Macaca mulatta: one gene and its partners. The protein of the gene in region 3 interacts with the protein of the main gene of each other region in a pairwise test. Links are inferred from orthologs where the notes say so. Each region holds a gene or a part of one and is shown on either strand. Other genes may lie near its edges.

Region 1 (2,837 bases), on a different chromosome or scaffold from region 3:
CTCTCTACATAGGGGCTGCTATAACATTATGGTCATAATGACAGCTCAGAATCAAAGAAAAAGCTAAACGGCATTCCACATATTTTATTTTGTGATTAGTAAAGTATGTAATGACCTACCCACAGCCACAATCCCCCTCATTCCCTCCAGGAAAAGAGTTCTATCAAAAACATTTTAAGTTCTTAAAAGAATAAGTTCTTATTATCTAAAAAGTTTACTCATGAAACTATTCAATCCTCAATGATAACATATAACCATATTTGATGAATAAAGCATTAATTCTGTTTAAAGTGTAAAGTATTTCTAGGCTTGAAATTACATAATTTTTGCATTTTTGGTTCAGTATCACTTCGTAGACAGAAATAATTCTAACTATTGATGTTCACTGAGCTCTTCTTACTCTGTACCTGGGACTACTGTCAGCACTCCACATATAACAACTCATTTAATATCCACAATATTTGAAGGCTCATACCTTAAAAGACTAAGATTCTCTTTCCTTGGTATCTGCAGGAACCTTGGTACCTTCTCTTTCCGCACCTTAAACCATTCTGACTTACTCTAACCCTAAGTCTGTGTCACAGAATACTACCTGACCTCTAACCATTTTGAGTCTATGGATAAACCCTCAGATTTCTTAATTGCTCTGTTTCCAAAGCAAGAGGAACACCAAAATGCTATGATGGCTACCGTGAGACACAGACACTGATAGAGCCCACCTAAAGAGCAACAGCTGGCCTCTGCCCTGCACAGCCTAATCTCCCTTTATGTTTCAGACTGGAGTGCCAAAAAGTACTTCCTCTCCCTCCTGTGCCTCTCACCTGTTCTCCCACAGGGCCATCGGGAACCAAATGCACTGGCTGTTCGTTCTCCAAGTTCCGAGTACTTGGGTCGGCTCCCTTCCTCATCAACAGACGGACGGCATCTAATTGTGTCAGCCGGTACTGCAGGCTGGCAGCAACATGGAGGGCAGTGTTGCCATTGTAAGCCTGAAGATAAAACGAAATACCAGACATCAGGAAGGGGGAAATTTCATGAAAGGAGCTCAAAAACTTTGAGAAGGTATACAGAAGGCCATTCCCACTCTGGTGTGGTTATTAAAGCTTTCTAAAAGTACCTTTGCATTCACAAAAGACAGGCAACTGGGCAGCTCCAAAAAGAGGCGAATGAGTTCCAGATTTGCTTCTTCAGCTGCCAAATGCAGGGCTGTGCGGCCACTTTTGCGATCCTTGTCAAAGGCAAGAGGGAGACAAAAAAAAAAAAAAAGAAAATCCAGATACCATGCCTTGGAATACACTTTTCACCCAGTCTCTTGAATGTCTGATTCGGCTTCAGAGACTCACTTTGAATGCTCCCTTCTCCACAATGCCTTGCTTAATCCCAAGCTAAAGGGAATCTTTTATTTCCCTTAAATTTCCTATTAATTTGCCTGTATGCCTCTTATCACAATGTATCTTTTTATACAGAGTGGCCATAAAATGTAGAAAAATAAATGATATTTTTAAATCCTATGTCGTAACATATCAGTAAACCATGTATTATGTATTCACCTGCATTTCCGGACTTGGTAGCCTCCCTGCAGAGTCATATTTAGCTGTATCTCTCACCTCTTTGACTAGACAGTAAACCTCAAGGGTCCAAACGGTTTATGACTTAGGCAATTTTCCCCACATATTCAGTGAATAAAACCAAATTTTAAAAGAATATTTTCCAGCGTAAAAACAGAAGATGAATTCCACATCCCACAACAATGAAGAAACCCTTACAAAAAGCACTACCTTTATTCTCAGTGTAGGAAAACGGAAGCCAAAATGACAATATCAATTTTAGGCATTTTCTTTTCCTTTCAAAGACTAATTTATTTTACACCTAAATGACCTTTTGGATAATAATCCACAGATTCAAAGCAAATCAAAAAAACACATGAAACGATCTGTTAAAATCTGGGCTTCTTAACCACCCCATACATTGCTACTCACACCATTAATTTCAAAAAAAAAAAAAGGAAGTCTGAATCTGTACTTGGAAGCAAGGTCTTTTGCTCTTCTGCTATAACCAGCTTCTCCCCTACCCCATCTTAAACCTTTTCTTTGAATTTACCTTCGCTTCCACCGCTGCTCCCATTTGAATTAGGCACTTAATGGTATCAACCAGACTCTTATTCTTCAGTAAAAGCTCCTGAACTTCAGGTGAATGAGGCTGTTGATTTCTCTGGAGTTCATGGACCACAGCATTGTGGGCTATGACTGCACAATGAAGGGGAGTCAGGCCTAGAAGAAAAGTATAATCAAGCAGTGGTCGAGCATCCCATCAGGTCTTTTGGTCCTTCTATAACGACAAAAGTTGAGGATGGCCTCTAACTTAACCTACAAATGGGCTTCACAAGAACTAGTAAAGCAATCTGAATATAGTCCCTTTGTTGGGTCTCAGTGCTAATTTTATCTACAGAATATTTTAGCTTTAATTACCTTCCTTCTTAGCATGATACTTAGTACCCTTAGACCTTATGGGTCCCCCTCTCTAAGTGGCTCTCAATCTAATAAAGTTTCAGTTGCTTACCATCATAGTTAGTTGCCTCAAGATCCACAAACTGATTACTTCCCACTGCTCCCTTCTGAATCGCCTGCAGATTTTAAAAACAGACATCTGTTAGCAACACAAGCTGCACATATACCTAACTATTAGAATCCCCAAGAAATGAGTAAGTTAACTCAAAATAGATTATTGCAATAGGCAACCTATATCCAACTTCTAATATCCAACTGTATCTCTCTGGCCTTGCAATGATGGAAGCCTGGTCTGCTGCCTCTTACCTGAAGCACCTGGCAGTGGCCCTT
Region 2 (3,752 bases), on a different chromosome or scaffold from region 3:
CTTAATCATAATTCCTTGTCTTCTTTTCTTTTCTTTTCTTTTTGTTTGAGGCGGGTGGACAGAGCAAGCTACACACCAGACATAAGTAAAGAGAAGGCTTGGTTCAAACAGAGAGAGGCCTCTTGGTCACTTTTTCTTATGACATAGTGAATGTTTTTTTTCAGAGCACAAATACATCTGGAAGATACACATTAGGTTCCCAGTGCCTGTTCACTGGCTGAACTGGGAAAGAACTAGATATATGTGATTTTTAGGGACTTTAAAATAAAATACCTAAATCCTCAAGTCACTGGGTATTATAGGTTATAAATGAGGAGCAAGAGCAACAATTTGAAACACAATGGGTATGCTGAATACAGGCCAGGGCTGCTGAAAGCTAAGCAGGTGGGGTCACTTACATGCTGGAGGCACTGGCAATCTAAGAATGCTGGTCTTGAGGTTTGCCATGTCTTGTGGTTTCAAAGATACGGATCATTAACAGATTAAGTAGACACTTAAGGGGAAGGTCTTCCAGTTTTAGACTATTTTTCCATTCAATTTCTTAAGCTGTATTTCTTAGAGTACTACCTTAAAAAGTGGTCTTCGGTTTTTTTATCCCATAATATTCTACAGTTTTCACATTAAAATTTTGCTATTTCTAGCTTTTGGTCAAAACAAGACTAGGTTGAATTCATAAGAACAAACATCCCCTCTGGACATGTCTGGGTTATACCGACAGTATATTTACTGTACACAGTGACCTCATGAGCTAGGGAAGTGTCCTCTCACAATGTAAGATAGCACCTGTCAATGTAAGACAGCTCCTGTCATACGACGCAGAATGCAGACAAGTGAAAGGTCTTGGGGAGCTGACCTTCTGCTTCTCTGGGTCAACAGGCCACAGCACCTAATAAGGACACGGAGGGGGAGGGGCTAACCTAGTAACAGCATCTGCGTCAAAGAGAAACTACATTGTTCACAAGATTAACTTCCTGATACTAATAAGGGGACAGTAACTTGCTTATTTAGAACCTGGTGGGTTTTTACCATATTTCCTAAGTGGGTGAATGATTAGCAATCAAGTTCAACCCAAAGGAAGTGCCCATGAGAATCGGGCTATGTAATTACTAATAAACGTCTTTAAGTTGTACAAACAAGGGTTTATATTTACCAGATCTAGAATTTCTTCGCTGGAAACCACCCTGGAACATTTAATTCAACCACAAGTTTGGTTTCGAACTGAACTCACATAAATACGAGTAACACTTTGTCCTAATTTATTCTGAACATTCAAAAATAAATAACTAAAATAAGAAACAAAGAACTTTCTTTTTTTCTTTTTTTTCTGTTGCAGAAGCAAAGGGACTCAGTACCAGAGGAAGTTCGCTTTTCAGTGTCACTATATCAAAAGCTACCACAAATGCGGACAATAACGGCCCTTTAATATTAAAGGTAAAAGCTAACCTGTCCAGCTACAGCAGCAAAGTAACCATACAGCGGATCCTGAGTTTGTCCGGGAAACGCAGGTCCTCCGGGAGCCCCTCCGTACTGTGAAACAGGAAACACAAACCCGTCATTCAAGTTTTCTTCTTTCACCACTGCAAGGCCAGACAACTGCCCGCCTGCCTGCCCTTCACAAGGCTCACCTCCCCACCCCCAGGCACACTCTGCCAACACTCCACCCCTCTCTTCCATTCACACCCCCGTAATTTAAAAACTGGCGACTTGGACCATAAAGAGTTGCTGTGGAAGTGATGTCTGCATATGTAAAGCAACTTTTAAAATCCCTATTAACTTGAAGGTTACTGAGGTGAGTGCAAACTAGGCAAGCCAATGAAAGGGCTTGGAATTCTCCTTTTGTTGTTACAGCATTTATGGTATTTTAAAAGCGTTTTATGAACGATGGAAGGCTGGAGTTGGTAACATTCTGAGACGGGTGTAGCCTAGGGAAGAGTAAGGTGTCTGACCGGGCTGTATCTCGTGGGTGGCGAGGGAACACTGCCTGTCTCGGAAACAGTTCCCAAGACAACGCGCATCCCAGACGCCCGGCAAGGCTGCCTTCCTACAGGTCTTTTACTTCAGTAGGTTTTCCTTTTTTTTCTGTCCCCCTTCTCACTTTTTTTTTTTTTTTTTTTTTTTTTTTGAGGGAGGAAGGTATATCGAAGTATCATTCTAGAATAAAATGACTGTTGTTGCTTTGGGAGGCAACCGAGAGGGCGGGGGTGGGGTGAAGTGGGGGTTAGTCAACACCCAATTAACACGATTTCATGCCGCGTATCCGAGAAGCCGCAGGGCGGGCTTCTGGGGTCCCAATCCACCTTCACCTTGGGCCCGCAGAGCCATCCAGGAGAAGGGACGGGGGAAACCAGGGGAGAGGCCGAACCGCAGGGGCCTAGGGCGAGGCCGCGAGCGCAGGCAGAAGCCGAGGGCGGAAGGAGCCCGGGCAGCTGCCCAGCAGCGCCTCACCCCGCTGGCCGCAGCATCTCCAAGGTGGCCTCTTAGCGCCCCGGAGCCGCCTGGGCAGCGATCCCGCGCAATCAGCACTTACCCCGCCTGGGTAGTACCCGCCGCCGGCGCCAGGATGCCCTGGGTACGCCATGGTGCAGACTGCGCCGCCGCCTCCCTGGCTCTGTGCACCAAGCCTCCCAGCCGCCTGCCCCGCCCCGCCCTGCCGCGAGGGGGCCGCCCCAGAGCGCACCACACGGGCGTGGGGGAGGCGCTCCGCAGCTGTCTTCAGTTCCTGCCTGTGCACGCGGCCGTGGCTCCACTGCCTGCGCGCTTCTTCCTATCTTTGCCATTACGGTGCTAACGCAGTGCACGACCGAAGGTCCAGTGGTGGCCTACGACCTGCGAGGCAATTCACACCAGGGACTTTCCTCCCTCCGAAACTAATGGCACATTCCAACATCGATACACCGCCCCAGGAATTCTTTTTTTTTTTTTTTTTTTCCGTCGGACTTGGCTATTATCTGGCACATTTCTTATTTTAAACAACTTTATTGGACAGGACGGAGCTACTATAAGCGGAGCGCACCATCGCGAGGCAGGGGCTGAATTCCTTCGGGCAAGTCTTAGGTGCTAGTGGGTGAAGGAGTCGTTGAACGATGGAAATACGAAAGCTCCCTTGGAAAAGAAGAATTAACTTGACGAACGGTGTGCAAGGGAGAGTCTGGCTTGCGGTTGATTGCAAAGTTCATTCAACGACAACGGCGTATTTCCTTCCTAGGGGTCAATTACTTGCCTGTTTAAGCTGGGCGTGGCTCGTGTCCTGAGTAGGACAGGGGGCATTTTCCAGGCAGGACAGCCTCACCCAGATCGTTCTTAGCAAAATGAATTGTTTGAATTATCTGGATGATTCAGACAAAACAATCCATTTCCCTAAAATTATTCAGCTACTTTTTATATAAGAAAAGTTTAGAACAAAGTAAGAGTGTGTTTTTTCAGTATTCAGGAAGATAAGAGATAGGAACTTCAATGTAGGTTATTCTTCTTTACTTCACATATTTTTCTATCTCCCAGTTGAATAGTCCGAAGCAATTCAGGCGTGAGCTTTTTGTTTTGTTTTGTTTTGTTTTGTGTAATTTCAATGACACAGAAAAATGTTTGCTTGCCCTTCACTGTTAAGGACTAGACTTAATGATTTCCTGAATTTTAACATAGTGAGAAACGCATTAATAAGCAAGATTCACAGTATTTGTTGTGGAGGTTGCACAGAAACATTTAAAGGGTCATCAACATTTCACAAATATTGGAACACCCGCCAGTGTGCTTTT
Region 3 (3,652 bases):
TTAGCTTCCCCTCTCATGAAGAGAAGGGCTTGAACTACATGAGCCCTTTATTTTCTTTCTTTTTTTTTTTTTTGAGGCAGGGTCCCACTCTGTGGCCCAGTGCAGTGTAATGGCATGATCATAGCTCACTGCCTCCTCCAACTCCTGGACATGAGTGATCCTCCTACCTCGGCTTCCTGAGTAGCTAGAACTACAGGTGTGTGCCACCATGCCTGTTTAGTTTTTTGAGATGGAGTCTCACTCTTGTCACCCAGGCTGAAGTGTAATGGCACATGTCTAGTTTTTTAAATTTTTGTAGGAATGGGACCTCACTTTGTTGCCCAGGCTGGTCTCAAACTCCTGGGTTCAAGCAATCCTCCTGATTCTGCCTCCCAAAGCACTGGGATTTATAGGCGTGAGCCACGACACCCAATCCCCATAAACCTTTTCAATGTCAGCCTTCAACTGATCAAAGGACACAACATTATGTTTCAAGACATTGATAACATGCACAAGGAATAAGTGAATAGAGAGTAAGAAAAAGCTCATTAAATCTATCTCCAGGAATAGAGAATATTAGGCCAGGCACAGTGGGTCACACCTGTAATCCCAGAAATTTGAGAGGCCGAGGCAGGTGGATCGCTTGAGACCAGGAGTTTGAGACCAGCCTGGCCAACATGGTGAAACCCCATCTGTACTAAAACACAAAAAAATAGCCAGGCATGGTGGCATGGGCCTGTAATCCTGGCTACTTGGAAGGTTGTGGCTAAGATTGCTTGAACCTGGGAGGAGAAGGTTGCAGCAAGCCATGATCGTGTCACTGCACTCTAACCTGGGTGACAAAGTGAGACTCTAGTCTCAAAAAAAAAAAAAAAAAAGAATAGAGAAGTTTAGCATCATTCCATCATTCTTTGATGGTTTATCACTAGTGTAATAAACCAAAAGACTAGAAAGACAGAAAGTGAAAGGAGAGGGAGAAGGACTGCTGCAGGGATTTCTGAACTCCCTAACTCTTTTCTGGCACTTCTATCCTCCCATTCCCAGAACTTAAGCTTCTTCGTTCCCTGGTCAGGAAGCATGTAAAACTGCTTTCAGTAAATTAACAACACTCGGGGTTAGTGAGGATATGAATAGACACGCATTCTCATGTAGAGTTGCCCTAAATTTCCAGTTCAGGCTCTGTATCTCAAGTGTCTCCTAGGGCAAGCTGGTGCAACATGCTCACTATAGGGCCTTGCACATGAAGGGTGTGCAGTAAGATTTACTGGATGAAGGTAAAAGTGCAGATTACAGAAAAGCATATAAAGATCCTGGGCTGGGCACAGCAGCTCACATCTATAATTCCAGCGCTTCTGAGAGGCCAAAGTGGGATGATCCCTTGAGCCCAGGAGTTTGAGACCAGTCCAGGCAACAAAGTAAGACCCTGTCTCTATAAAAAATTTAAGAATTAGCCAGGTGTGGTGGTGCACACCTGTAGTCCCAGCTACTCAGAAGGCAAAGGTGGGAAGATTGCTTGAGCCCAGGAGGTCAAGGCTCTAGTGAGCCATGATTGCATCACTGTACTCTAGACTGGGTAACACAGTGAGACCCTGACTCCAAAAAAAGAAAAAAAAATGATCCTGCTAATATAAACTGTATAAATTTCTGTCTTTATGTGTATATACATAATGACAGATGTCTAGACTGCGCGTCAACTAAAATTGTAACTACCAGTACTGCTGATGATTTAATTTAAAAATCTTTTCTTCGGCCAGGTGCGGTGGTTCACGCCTGTAATCCCAGCACTTTGGGAGGCCAAGACGGGCGGATCAGGAGATTGAGACTATCCTGGCCAACACGGTGAAACCCTGTCTCTACTAAAAATACAAAAATTAGCCGGGCATAGTGGCGGGCGCCTGTAGTCCCAGCTACTTGGTAGGCTGAGGCAGGAGAATGGCGTGAACCTGGGAGGCGGAGCTTACAGTGAGGGGAGATCGCGCCACTGCACTCCAGCCTGGGCAACAGAGCGAGACTCCATCTCAAAAAAAAAAAAAAAATTTTTTTTCTTCACTTGATTAATTTTCTGTATTTGGATTTTTCCCCTTAAAAAGGGCATGCGTTGTTTTAGATTACTAAAATAACTAAAATTAAAAGTTTTGTTTATCTGTTAAATACAGTTAAACCAAAAGCCTTAATTGAATCAAGTAAAATATACTTAAAATATAATAATATAAATACATTTTTTTAAACAAAGTTTCTCCAAATAAAGTAAAAACTTTATTTTATTTTTATTTTTTTGAGATGGAGTCTCACTGTGTCACCCAGGCTGGTTGGCATCCGGTAGTGCGATCTCGGCTCACTGCAACCTCCATATCCCAGGTTCAAGTGATTCTCCTGCCTCAGCCGCCCAGAGTAGCTGGGACTACAGGCATGCACCACCATGCCCGGCTAATTTTTATGTTTTTAGCAGAAATGGGTTTTCACCATGTTAGCCAGGCTGGTCTCCAACACCTGACCTCAAGTGATCCGCCCATCTTGGCCTCCGCCCAGCCAAAATAAAGTAAAAACTTTAATTATTGGGTTAAATTTGAATATGGAAAAGTCCCCACGTTGGAGATAGAGTACCAATTCTGTGGGCCTGCAGTTAAGATCAGAATTCAATCTAGCTTTCGAGAAAGAAAGGAAAAGCTTCTTTCATCCTTTACCAGTTTTCTAGCCGATCTAGGCAGATGTTGGGCGGACCTCCAATGCAGGCAATCTGTTGCCGCCTCTTCCAGTCAGCCAGCTCCTCGTCTGTGAGAGTTTTCTGCACGTACTCCATCGCTGACAAAAGCCCCGCCAGCTCACTCACGATGCTCTGGTTGGAAACCAAAACAAAGTCAGAAAACATTTCCTCAGACAGTCTCTAACCACATTCTTTAGTCAACTCCAGAGCAGGAACTTCTTAGAAACCAAGCAAGTTCTGCCACAAGATGCTGAAATCCCGCAAGTGAGCGAGACACACAGGGGAAGTGGTCCGACCGATGCCCTTACTCTCCGCATCTGGTCCAGCGCAGTGAGCATCTGTTCCAGCTGCTGCATCTTCTGCCTGGTCACTGACTGGTTGTTTCCATTCAGATCTTGCATGTCTGCGGAGGAAGGAGAAACTCCTTGACCTGAGGGAATAATCCTGTCCTTAATGACCAGGCTCCTTTGAGCACCCGTAACTCCCTTGCGCCCCGACCGCCTTAAGATCTAAGAGTTAAGACAAATGACTCTTTCAACTCAACAACACAAACTCACTTTCTAGAGATTTTAACGTCTCTAATATTCACTTGCCTCCTTGACTCTTGAGGGTTTTATAGTTGAAATCAAAGTCATCCTGGAGATTCTCTACCACTTTCATTTTCTGTTCTAGATCCTGTTTAAAATAAGTAAACAAAAAAACAGAAGTAAAAAAAGATTTCCTTGGGAACAGAAAAAATAACGTATCGGAGGAGAATTCAAATGAAGCCAAAACCTCAAAAAAGATACATGGAGGACTTGCAGGCAGTATCCCCAAGAGAAGACTCCCTGGTGGCCAGGCGCAGTGGCTCACGCCTGTAATCCTAGCACTTTGAGAGACTGAGTTGGGAGGATCACTTGAGCCCAGGAGTTTGAGATCAGCCTGGGCAACACAGGGAGACCCCCATCTCTACAAAATTTTGTTTTAAAT

Evidence for each region.
Region 1: the proteins of STAT3 (region 3) and NFKBIZ interact in a two-hybrid assay, tested with the Homo sapiens proteins (2 studies listed by BioGRID and IntAct). The link is inferred for Macaca mulatta from reciprocal best matches to the Homo sapiens genes STAT3 and NFKBIZ.
Region 2: the proteins of STAT3 (region 3) and SRI interact in binary tests that used the Homo sapiens proteins (3 or more experiments, as listed by UniProt). The link is inferred for Macaca mulatta from reciprocal best matches to the Homo sapiens genes STAT3 and SRI.

What each region holds. Positions count from the first base shown.
Region 1 is NC_133407.1:181,752,338-181,755,174, forward strand, and holds the end of NFKBIZ (NF-kappa-B inhibitor zeta), read right to left. Parts: coding exon 2,814-2,837; intron 2,624-2,813; coding exon 2,560-2,623; intron 2,271-2,559; coding exon 2,101-2,270; intron 1,229-2,100; coding exon 1,118-1,228; intron 990-1,117; coding exon 720-989; 3' UTR 575-719; downstream 1-574. UniProt on the Homo sapiens protein: Involved in regulation of NF-kappa-B transcription factor complexes. Inhibits NF-kappa-B activity without affecting its nuclear translocation upon stimulation.
Region 2 is NC_133408.1:131,185,381-131,189,132, reverse strand, and holds the start of SRI (sorcin), read right to left. Parts: upstream 2,621-3,752; 5' UTR 2,579-2,620; coding exon 2,528-2,578; intron 1,790-2,527; exon of another isoform or gene 1,719-1,789; intron 1,528-1,718; coding exon 1,444-1,527; intron 1-1,443. UniProt on the Homo sapiens protein: Calcium-binding protein that modulates excitation-contraction coupling in the heart. Contributes to calcium homeostasis in the heart sarcoplasmic reticulum. Modulates the activity of RYR2 calcium channels.
Region 3 is NC_133421.1:66,679,796-66,683,447, forward strand, and holds part of STAT3 (signal transducer and activator of transcription 3), read right to left. Parts: exon of another isoform or gene 3,359-3,652; coding exon 3,277-3,358; exon of another isoform or gene 3,114-3,276; coding exon 2,992-3,113; exon of another isoform or gene 2,816-2,991; coding exon 2,664-2,815; exon of another isoform or gene 2,509-2,663; intron 1,773-2,508; exon of another isoform or gene 1,346-1,772; intron 614-1,345; exon of another isoform or gene 41-613; intron 1-40. UniProt on the Homo sapiens protein: Signal transducer and transcription activator that mediates cellular responses to interleukins, KITLG/SCF, LEP and other growth factors. Once activated, recruits coactivators, such as NCOA1 or MED1, to the promoter region of the target gene.